2 linked regions of the Schizosaccharomyces pombe genome follow. The protein of the gene in region 2 interacts with the protein of the main gene of each other region in a pairwise test. Each region holds a gene or a part of one and is shown on either strand. Other genes may lie near its edges. The genes, in order: sfi1 and asi1.

Region 1 (5,161 bases), on a different chromosome or scaffold from region 2:
TGGTATATTGTGTTTATTGGGTTTAAGTTTTGCATTTCCTAATTTTTTCAATCATTGTCATGTATATTTCCTTGGTTTAATGTCGGGTTTAGCATATTAATTTTTATGTTTTTGCTTTCTCACTTGACTTATTCTGAAACACTGTTTTAAAGCTTTGTAGTTTTTAATTTTTTTTCCTTTGTTAATCTGTTTTTATTAATTTAAATAGTTTTTTTTTTATTATACGTATTTCATTTTTGTAAATTTTTCATTGTAAGAAAAAAATTTTTTTTTTAAATTTGTTTGACCGCCTGCTACTGTAAGTCGTAGTACTTGCTTTGAACATCTTATGGAGCATTACTCTCCTAACGATTTGGTAAAGTCCTTTTAAAATTATCAAGTGAAGCGTTCACTTCCTGCTTAAAGTTTTTTTTTTTTTTTTTTAAGTATTCCACACGTACTTGTAATGTGTTGCAGGATTATTGATGCTACTGTTACACGAATTTTCGACTATGTATTAAACTTTTCAAAGCAATGACTATTATATTATACATATCTAAAGGTTTATCAATATACTCTCAACTCATTTCAAATGGTTAGATAAAAAAAAAGAGAACTAACTCTCTCCGTCAATCGTAAATGTCAACGGGTATTAGGAGGTATAGGCCGCAGAAACTTGGAAAATCGAGATATGGGAGTCTTTAGTTCCTGCTTCCAGCGATTTTCAAAATTTACAGACTCATCAGTGAATTCATCATTTTGCATTGGCAAAGTGGTATCAAATGTATGCATATAGCGTGAAGTGCGATTGCCCTCAATGGTAGCTTCTGCCTCTAGTAATGATGATTCTTCTTGATTAAGTTGCATACGTTGCAACCATTTTCGGAAATATTTGCCCAATAATTTATTTTTCTTTTGCTCGTGGAACCTATCCGCTTGCATTACTAAGCTAGTAACTCGGAACATCAGCAAATGCCAGGCATCAAACGCATTTCGCAACGTTTGTCTATTAAATTCACGACGCTTCCAATCACTAATATTGAAATAAAATTTTATAGCACGCAATTGATATCGCCAAAAAACCATGGCAGAACGCATTAGTCGTTCATTATAAAATTGGTCTGCCTGAGACATTATCTCCTTTTGGTGATTGTAACGAAAAGACCATGCTTCGTACGCTCTAACGACAACTTTTTGCGTTGAGAGCTCTGCTGTGTCAAGCATTTGAGAAACCGACAATAACCGCGCTACCCAAGCATTCCAGCATCGCAGCACAAGTTTTTCTGATTGAACTTCTCGAAAGTCAACAACTTTGTTTTCCAGTCGTAATAACATATTAGTCTCACGAAGGTATCGCCAATGTTCGAATACAACTCGCAAAGTCTTTCTTTTGAAAAATAAATCAGCATTTTGTTGCATTCCAACCTTTCGATTATAAGACACTACCCATTGATTCCAAACACCGATAATTTCGTTAGTAGTATGAAGTTTTTCCGCGCGGATCGATAGCTCTTTAATGTCCAATAATGAAATACGCCATTTGATTAGATATTGCTTAGCGATTTTTTGAATTCTTGTTAGTTGTAATTCTTGAGCTTCTTTTTGTAGTTTGATTCTTCGTTGATAGTTGTCCTTCCAAGCCTCCCAAGCAATAGTTAATAGTCTATGATCTCGCTTATGTTGAAAAGACTTAGCTTTCATTAAATAATACCAAAATCTGAATGTGACAATTAGACGATCTTTATTTCTTTTCTCCTGGACTACCTTAACTCTCACGGCCAGTCTCCATTTTGTCAAAAATGTATTTTGTAAAATCGTATCAGCCAGTTCAAAATTCCTGTCAACTTTTATAAATTTATTTTTCCATTTAAAAAAAGCAGACTTAACAATATCAACATCATGTCCGTCCATCCAAAAATCAATTTTTTCGTAAGTTGTAGCTTTCCGTCTCCATAAGACGAGCATTCGTTGCAGCAAGTTAACTTCATATAAATCATCAGCTTTGTTCATTAAATCAGATAATTCTTCAATTCGAAGTTTCCATTTATGTAAAGCGATACTGTAATAAGCTTTTTGGGAGAATAATTCAGCTTTCTGTAGATCCAAAACATGTGACTCGTAATTGGCATGCCATCTATTAAAAGACATAAATACAACTTTTTTTTCATATAATGTAGCAGCATTCTTGATGGATAAGTTTGCTTTCCAAGTTTTAAAAGAATGAGCAAGGACAGAATGCTGGAAAAACACATTTGCTTTCTGTATAAGGCTTTCATTTCTCCTTCTCTTTGACATCCAATTTGTAAACACACGACGTTTTAACATATACTCATGTTTTCTATTCCAATTGACCGTTAATGCTGACCATTTAAGCAAAACGTCTAGCAAAAACGCATTCTTTTGAAATCGCAATTTTTGATGGAGACGTTCTCTCGTCTTCTGGCGCCAACGATTTACCATTTGACCTATTAGTATCAATCTGTAAGCTTCTCCAGCACTATATATTCTAGATTGAATGTTCCTTAGCTTCTGAACCCAACGTGGAAAATATTTAAGCATAATAAAGGCTCGATAAACAGCGTCAGCTTTACGAAGATAGACGGCATCAATCTTTTTATAATATCGATATTTTTCAAGCATAAAGTCTAAACTGTTTGCTAATAAAATTTTGTCTTTTTGAGACCGATATTGGTCCGCTCTGCGAAACATGGCAGTTTGCGACTTGATCGTTTGAGCAACTTCACTAGCAAACTGGGATGATTTCTGCTGATTACTCCTCGATCGATAATCATCACCATTTACAATAAATGGATCATTTTCCATATCTGTGTTATTAAGCGGGAAAAGAGGTGTATTCAAATCTGAGGAAACTTGTGAGAACCCGATTCGTCGCATCAAGTTCCTCCATTCATCATTCCAGCTTAGTTTTTTTGAGGAGATCAATCGGTAAAGAATACGGATATAAGAACGATGCCTCGCAGGATTTAGACCATTTTCTCGAAGGACACTTTCGTATGCGTTGAAAACATCAAGAGGGGAGGTATCATCAGCTGCGTGACTTAAACGAAGTAAAATTAGTCGCAATATTTCTAAATCTAAATGCCAGTAAGTTAGCAAAAAATAAAAGCAAATTCGTATTAAAATTCATACCACGACGCAAGTCCTCGTCCATGATTTTTCGACCACCGTCGACATACTTGGGAGCGCCATTTTTGCTCATGATCTTACAAGTCTTTTATTAAACACATCACAAAGAAAGCTCAGTGAATACCAAATGAATCAAGACTTTTAAGATCTGTTTGTTTACGGCTAAGTTCTGTTCATCAACGAACTGTTTACTGTACTCGACTAAATGCGTTAAGATACATATCACAGTGTGCAGCCTTTGCGCTAGACAAACAACACAGTTTACCAAATTACATTGAATTTTTTAGCAAATTGTATCGGATTTGATCGCAATCAATCTGAATACAAAATTGTTTTGTGTACATATTCCTCTCCTTCCACACCTAAACTTCTTGTAAGACCGATTTCCGGAAGCATTGCTGAATTAGCTCTTTTGCCTACCGTAAAAGTATTTCAGCATGTCGTTTAACGTTCCTAAAGAAGAGGAAAAAATCGTTGAGTTTTGGCGCGAAATCGATGCGTTCCATACTCAGTTAAAACTTTCTCAAGGTCGTCCTACTTATACATTTTTCGATGGACCTCCATTCGCTACCGGTCGTCCTCATCATGGTCATCTTTTGGCTTCTACCATTAAGGATAGTGTCACCCGTTATGCTTGCTTGAAGGGTTATCACGTCGAGCGTAGATTCGGTTGGGATACACATGGACTTCCTGTTGAGCATGAAATCGACAAAAAGTTGGGTATTACTGGAAGTGATGATGTTATGGCTATGGGTATTGACAAATACAATGCCGAATGTCGTAAAATTGTCATGACTTATGCATCCGAATGGCGTGCAACAGTTGAAAGACTGGGCCGTTGGATTGATTTTGATAACGATTATAAAACGTTGTATCCTTCTTTCATGGAAAGTGTTTGGTGGGTTTTCAAAGAGTTGCATACAAAAGGAAAAGTTTACCGCGGATATCGTGTTATGCCTTACTCGACTGCATGTACAACACCTTTGAGTAACTTTGAAGCTCAACAAAACTATAAGGAAGTCCCAGATCCGGCTATTGTTGTTGCCTTTCAATCCATTAGTGATCCTGAAGTTTCTTTCTTAGCTTGGACTACTACTCCATGGACCTTGCCTTCTAACCTTGCTTTGGCTGTTCACCCTGACTTACAGTACATAAAAATTTTGGACAAGGATTCTAATAAGAAATATATCCTTATGGAGAGCTGCCTTGGCATCCTTTACAAGAACCCAAAAAAGGCGAACTTTGAAATTTTGGAACGTTTCCAAGGAAAGGCCTTGGATGGTCAAAAGTATGAACCTCTCTTCCCTTATTTCAAGAGCACTTTTGGCGAAAGAGCATTTAAATTATATTCTGCTGACTACGTTGAAGAAGGCAGTGGTACTGGTATCGTCCATCAAGCTCCTGCTTTTGGTGAAGCAGATTATGACGCTGCTTGGGCTGCTGGCATCATCGATGCTGATCACCAACCTCCTTGCCCTGTTGATGAGCAAGGTTTGCTTACTTCGGAAATCACAGACTTCGCTGGCCAATATGTTAAAGACGCAGATAAGGAAATTATCCGCTCCTTGAAAGCATCTGGCCATTTGGTTAAGCATAGTCAAATTTTCCATAGTTATCCATTTTGCTGGCGTTCCGATACACCTCTAATTTATCGTGCCGTTCCCAGTTGGTTTGTTCGCGTGAAGGAGATCACTAATGAGATGGTTGAAAATGTCATGAGCACTCACTGGGTCCCTCAAAACATTCGTGATAAACGTTTTGCGAATTGGTTGAAGAATGCTCGTGACTGGAACATTTCCCGTAACAGATACTGGGGTACCCCTATCCCACTTTGGGTTAGTGATGACTACGAAGAAGTCGTTTGCATTGGTTCCATTAAGGAGCTTGAAGAACTTTCCGGCGTTTCTAATATTACAGACATTCATCGTGACAGTATTGATCATATCACTATTCCTTCTAAAAAAGGTAAAGGAACATTGCATCGTGTCAGTGAAGTATTTGACTGTTGGTTTGAATCTGGCAGCATGCCTTATGC
Region 2 (5,402 bases):
TAATCCCTAATTTAAATTATTATCATTACTATTTTTTTTAAAAAAGAACACTTTTTTTCATAATTCAGGCCCCTACTGTGTAAACACATTTGGATTCCTATAAATTATCAAATATTCCTTTACTAGCTGATATATGGATTCGCTTTATAAAATACAGAAAGATAGAATTTAGTACGAAGTCGGTTCAAATAAATTTATTAAATGGGTTCCAAATGCTGAAGAATTCTACTCACCTCTATAGCGTAAAAAATGGGATGCTGCATTTTCACTTTGCCGGATATTAATTGTTTTATTGTAAATCAGTGCATGGGGTTGGTTAGAGAAAAAAAACGAAAAAAGACTTGTGTAGGTATAAAGAAAAATAAACAAATAAATAAATATAGCATAAAAAAATGACTACAACCATAAAACCTCAAATGAAATATGCAAAAGATAAATTTGTAATTACTTTTTCTAATAAAGTTAACATTCATGTAAAGTAGAAAATCTGTGAAAATTTTTAAAGTGAACAGAAATCTCGAAACATCAATCAGTTACTTTATCATTTTTCATCAAAGCTTTTTCAATCAATAGCAAAGCGAAATCAAATCATTTTGTTTTCAACCTAGGTAGTAAGCTGGCTCGTGTTCATGAATGGGCAAACACTTAAATACTAAGTTAAAATGTATTATAAACGGGTGAACGTCAGAAATAAGGGACATACAAAGCGACAATTGTGAATATTCTCCTTTGGGAAAATGGTCAACAAAATGTAAAAAATCATCAGAAGAGATAAATTTGTGACAAAACAAGACAAACATTTTGTTTGCTTTTTCAAGCATACGGAAAGGGAGTAAGTGAAAATAAGAAATAAAGCATACTCATTAATATTATTAGGTAATTGTTTTGCAAATGAATTAAGCGTGTCTTTGAATGATGTGAAACCCACTGCTCGTTTCAACCACTCCACTAATTTCACCGGGTTTCAAGGCAAACGCAGCGTCTTCAAACGGTTTTTGCATTTCGTCTCTTCCAAATTCGCCTCTACACATAGTGTTAGTAAAAATCGTTCCAGTTGAAAATCAGACTACACTTGGCAAACCAACAAGAGCTTATCACCAAGTGTGGCACCACCATATACTGTCGGTCTTGCGACTCGTATTTAATTACAGTATATCAAAATACATACAATTCACCTCCGCGACGAGCGGAGCTACAATCCGACTCTTTCATGGCTAAATCATGCATGCTTACAGAGCCACTCTTTAGCAATTGTTCATAGTGTTCAGCCAGCTTCCTCGCCTCCTCCTTGCTCCTAGTAATGTGCTCCTCCTTCCATGAGCTGGGACGACGGCTTTCTCGATGCTTTACGAGTAAATGGCTAGCACGAATCTTGGGTGAATTGCTTGCCTCGGTGGGTGTAACTGACTCCTGCAACTCGTTTGCAATGAACTTTTTCAGGGCAGCCATATCAGTGGCAGCCGGAGGCTCCCATAAAGACTCATGCGTCTCAGTATTAAAGAAGTAGGGACGATTTCTGGAGCGTGAAATCTTGACAATCCATGGTTTGGGTAACCCAGTATTAGACATTTTTTTTACCACAACGCTTCTTCAAAAAATGGATTCACTAAGACAGAAAAAATCCTCAACTATAAATTACAAGCAAAACACGTTCAATCTCTGCAATTTGAAGCTTGTTTATTTGCTTTGTTTAGAGTCACGTAGTAGCTAGAGTCGTTTGCCATCTATTATGTAAATAAAGCACATTTGCTATGTTGCTATGTCAACCACCACTAAGGCCTTCGATAGGAAAGGAAATGGGGGCATTCTACCTTTTTATCCCAAGTGGGGGCACTTTCCAAAGTACCAGAAGATAGGGCATACCTTATTCGTCAATTGGAGACAAAACTCAAGGCATGCCTTTTTGCCTCAGCATAAGCGGAACACCTAGCTTGAAAGAGTAAAAAGTCGTAGAGGACTACAAATTCGATATTTATTTAATTAATCAAGAAAAATTGGTGTAATTTGAAGTAGAAACATTTTTTTTCTGGCAGATTTGAGTGGAATTTGAGGAAAAAGGTGAGAAGTTTGGAGATTTCGGATTGTTGAACGAAAATTTGTTGGATTTGAAAATTGTTAGACTTTTGGTGCATTCCTCTTTTCGTTTGTCAAAGTTTACTTAGTGTCGTAGACTGCAGTGAGAAGAGCTCGGTTTTAAGTTTTTTTTTCATAAATAATAGGTTATTGAGGTACAATTCAATTCACCTTAATGCATATTCCACACTTTCATCTTCACAAGGGTCCCAAAGGCGTGCGCACTATATCGTATGAGCAGCTTCTCTCCGAAGATGACTCGTATGCGTCTGAAAAGCTGAGTGAGGACCATGTAACGGAGGTTCATTTTGTTACTGATAAGGACGAGGATTCAAATGCTTCCGGCGAGTCGAGAGGTTCTATGGAGTTGTTGGAAAACTGTTTTTCTTTGCTGCATGCCCAGGACGATACAAGTAAATTTGTGTCATTGACCATGCTTGCAAAATTACTCAATGATCATCCCAATCTCATCTTCAAATGCTGGGAAAGGATGGATATGAAGTTTTTGGACCGCTTGCTCCTTTCCACTCATTACGAGTACGTAGATTTGGGCGTCTCCATCCTTCTCGCTTTCTGCAGTGAAGAAGCCATTTTACGAAGTTATGAAGTGAAAAAAAGGGTTTCTACTTTACTACAGTGTTGTTTGAAACATTATGATCTTTGTATCCCGGTTATATGTACTTTGTCTTCCAACCCAAAATCAGCTAAGTATCTCCTTTACTATACATCATTTATTATCAACGAATTTCCATTTGAACAAGCATTTGAAATCCTTTCAAACGCACTATACGCCCTCGACAACGTACAGACGTATATGCGTCCCATTTTCCAAGGTATCGACAAACGACGCGGATGGAAGTTGGACTGTACTTTCTCGTTTTTTAGCGATTTGTTTTCGCGATTCCCGGTTCAATCATGGTATTCCGAGGCCATTCGTGCTAATCTCCAGCCTTTGATGGATGCGGTTGTTGAACGCTTTATCACCGATAAAAATCTTTCTTCAGCTACCGTTATTCTTTCTAACCTTCTTAAAGCTGCTGGTCCCGCCTCTATTATGCCAAATGATGGGTTTATGATTTTGGTGATTGGTCGCTGCTCTGCTGAGATTCGAGGAAGTCTGGGAATGCTAGTTAAGGCAGTTGGTCAGAAAGGAAAGCATGGAACTGTGTCGTACACGGTTTGTGAATGCTATGAAGTTCTTGGACTCCTCATTCGATATCTATGTGAAAATTGTGACGTTCTTGCCCAAAGAATTGAGCCTGATAAATTTTTCCAACTTCAGCGATCGCTTACTGAGTTGTTTAGCGATACGATGGATTTTCTTCGTGATGCATGGGATAACAATAAAAACCGTGACAATTTAGCATCACATGTAACTGTAATCAGTGCTGTGGCTACCTTGTGTTTGTGGTTGACCGAAGATGACAGCCAATATGCACAAGCCTCTGGTCTTATGGACATATTTGTATATCTGTGGAGGCATAGCTGGTCGAATGGAATTGATTATGCTAAATGGATTAGCGTTGCTCTCCCTTCCATGCTGAGCAACAAGGTTTTCTTTAAAGCTTTTAAAGATTTTGATGCATGGAAAGTTGTTTATGACGATTTTATCAAGTGTAACGATGATTTAAAAGGCGACAAGTCTTTTAACGATTATATACTATCTACGAACGAAGAAGATGGGGAGGATGAACGACTTGCTCAAGCTATTCAAGATTTTCACATTCTCATTCAACTTAACTCTCTTGTTCCACAGTCAATTTGGAATGATGATATTTGGCAAGAGCCATATTGGAAGAATTTGCTTGAATCCAATTTTTAAAAAAGTTTTTGCTTTTAAAACAAATGCCCGCTTTAATATCTCCCCATAATTATTATTTTTCGTTCTTTTTAAGTTTTCTTTTTTTTTGGTCGAAAAAAACATGTCGATTTTTATTTGACAATTATTTAAGTGAAACTCTGCTTCTTTGTCTTTGTTTATTATTTTATTTGATTAATAACTTAATTTCTTGGGTACTTGAAGGGATCTTTAATTTAATACTTGGATTGTGTATCCGGGTTCTTATTATTGCCGTTGTTTTTAAACAATTTCTATGTGCTTTTGTTCATGAAATATTAACTCCTCTATCTTAGACTGGTTTATATTACCAAAAAATATACGTCTAAAACCTCTTTGACCCCTTCTCTTTTTTCTAATTTTCCTCCTCGCCCCTCTTTATTTAATTTCAGCCCACTCATAAATGTCTGTATTGTTTCAATTCAATGCTAGAAGCAAGGTGAAACCCTTGTATTTTTTATTATCTTTTTATCATTTCTGTTTGTTTTTATTTCGTTGTTGAACATTATTTGGTTTCAATTTTCTTTCAGAAGGTTCTTTCTGTTTTATTTCGCTTTTTCCCTTCTGAAAATTATTTTGCCAATGAGACACTGCTTTATTACTTGAAATTTTCTGTGCAACCGGAGCCTGGTTCTGCTGGAAGTATTCGTTTATGACAGTGCATTTATAAAACGAATGACAGATTTACTCTGAATCAGTGGCTGACAATATCATTTTTGAACTTATCCGAAGTAAATTCATGATTCTTTGTTATGAAATGATCATAAATCGTTTTTGAAATATTTGTTCACATGTATGATGTACCTTTGTTTATTGAAATTTGACTTTCGTATTGTAAATGTGAGACATGATCCATTCTTTTTCTACCCAAAAGAAGCAAAAATGTAATATGAATGGATAAGAGAAGTCAGCCAAAAAAGGATTAGCTTTATATTAGACATTTGTTTTTCACTAGCAATACCCAGCTGATGGGTAAGAAAACTAGATAACGGTTTCGGTTCGTATCGTTATAAACCCTTGGTTGCGTAATGTAGTAGGCAATCTTCTATAACGAAGTAAGCAGTTTTTCGTTAAATACAATACAGATTTTAAGCAAACTAGCTTTGCATTCTTCACCAGAAACTGAGAACGTGAAGCTTTCGGGAATGGATCCACAGGTAGGAGGTTTATTACCTATTTGTAATTATTTATTGACCGCGTAGGTGGTAAATTTGCTTCAAGAAACTGAAGGTGTGTACCGATTTTTGTCTGACGACTTTTTGCTAATGAACTCGACGTATAGAGGACGTGTATCGGCGTAAAACCGCAAGGATTCGAAGAAAAGTCTCGGAAATTGAAAAGGAATGCGAAATGTATGCTGTGAAAATTTACAACGTTGAAAGAGACATTCAGCGGTATCGCCATGAAGCGCAATTGCTATCTAAAGTGCTCGAGAAAAAAGGGTTAAATAAAGAAAAGGAAGCTGGTGAGACATAATACTTGTTTTAGGCAG

Evidence for each region.
Region 1: the proteins of asi1 (region 2) and sfi1 interact in a two-hybrid assay, tested with the Schizosaccharomyces pombe proteins (one large-scale study listed by BioGRID).

Annotation. Positions count from the first base shown.
Region 1 is NC_003423.3:1,365,595-1,370,755, forward strand, and holds sfi1 (protein Sfi1), read right to left. Parts: upstream 3,291-5,161; 5' UTR 3,200-3,290; coding exon 3,130-3,199; intron 3,075-3,129; coding exon 622-3,074; 3' UTR 501-621; downstream 1-500. Other genes in the region: isoleucine--tRNA(Ile) ligase Irs1, read left to right, coding at 3,564-5,161. UniProt on the Schizosaccharomyces pombe protein: Component of the spindle pole body (SPB) half-bridge involved in the initial steps of SPB duplication.
Region 2 is NC_003421.2:660,835-666,236, reverse strand, and holds asi1 (protein asi1), read left to right. Parts: upstream 1-1,913; 5' UTR 1,914-2,248; coding exon 2,249-3,895; 3' UTR 3,896-4,791; downstream 4,792-5,402. Other genes in the region: peptidyl-prolyl cis-trans isomerase Pin1, read right to left, coding at 897-1,023, 1,169-1,569; hap2 (Ino80 complex subunit), read left to right, coding at 5,056-5,067, 5,113-5,140, 5,193-5,386.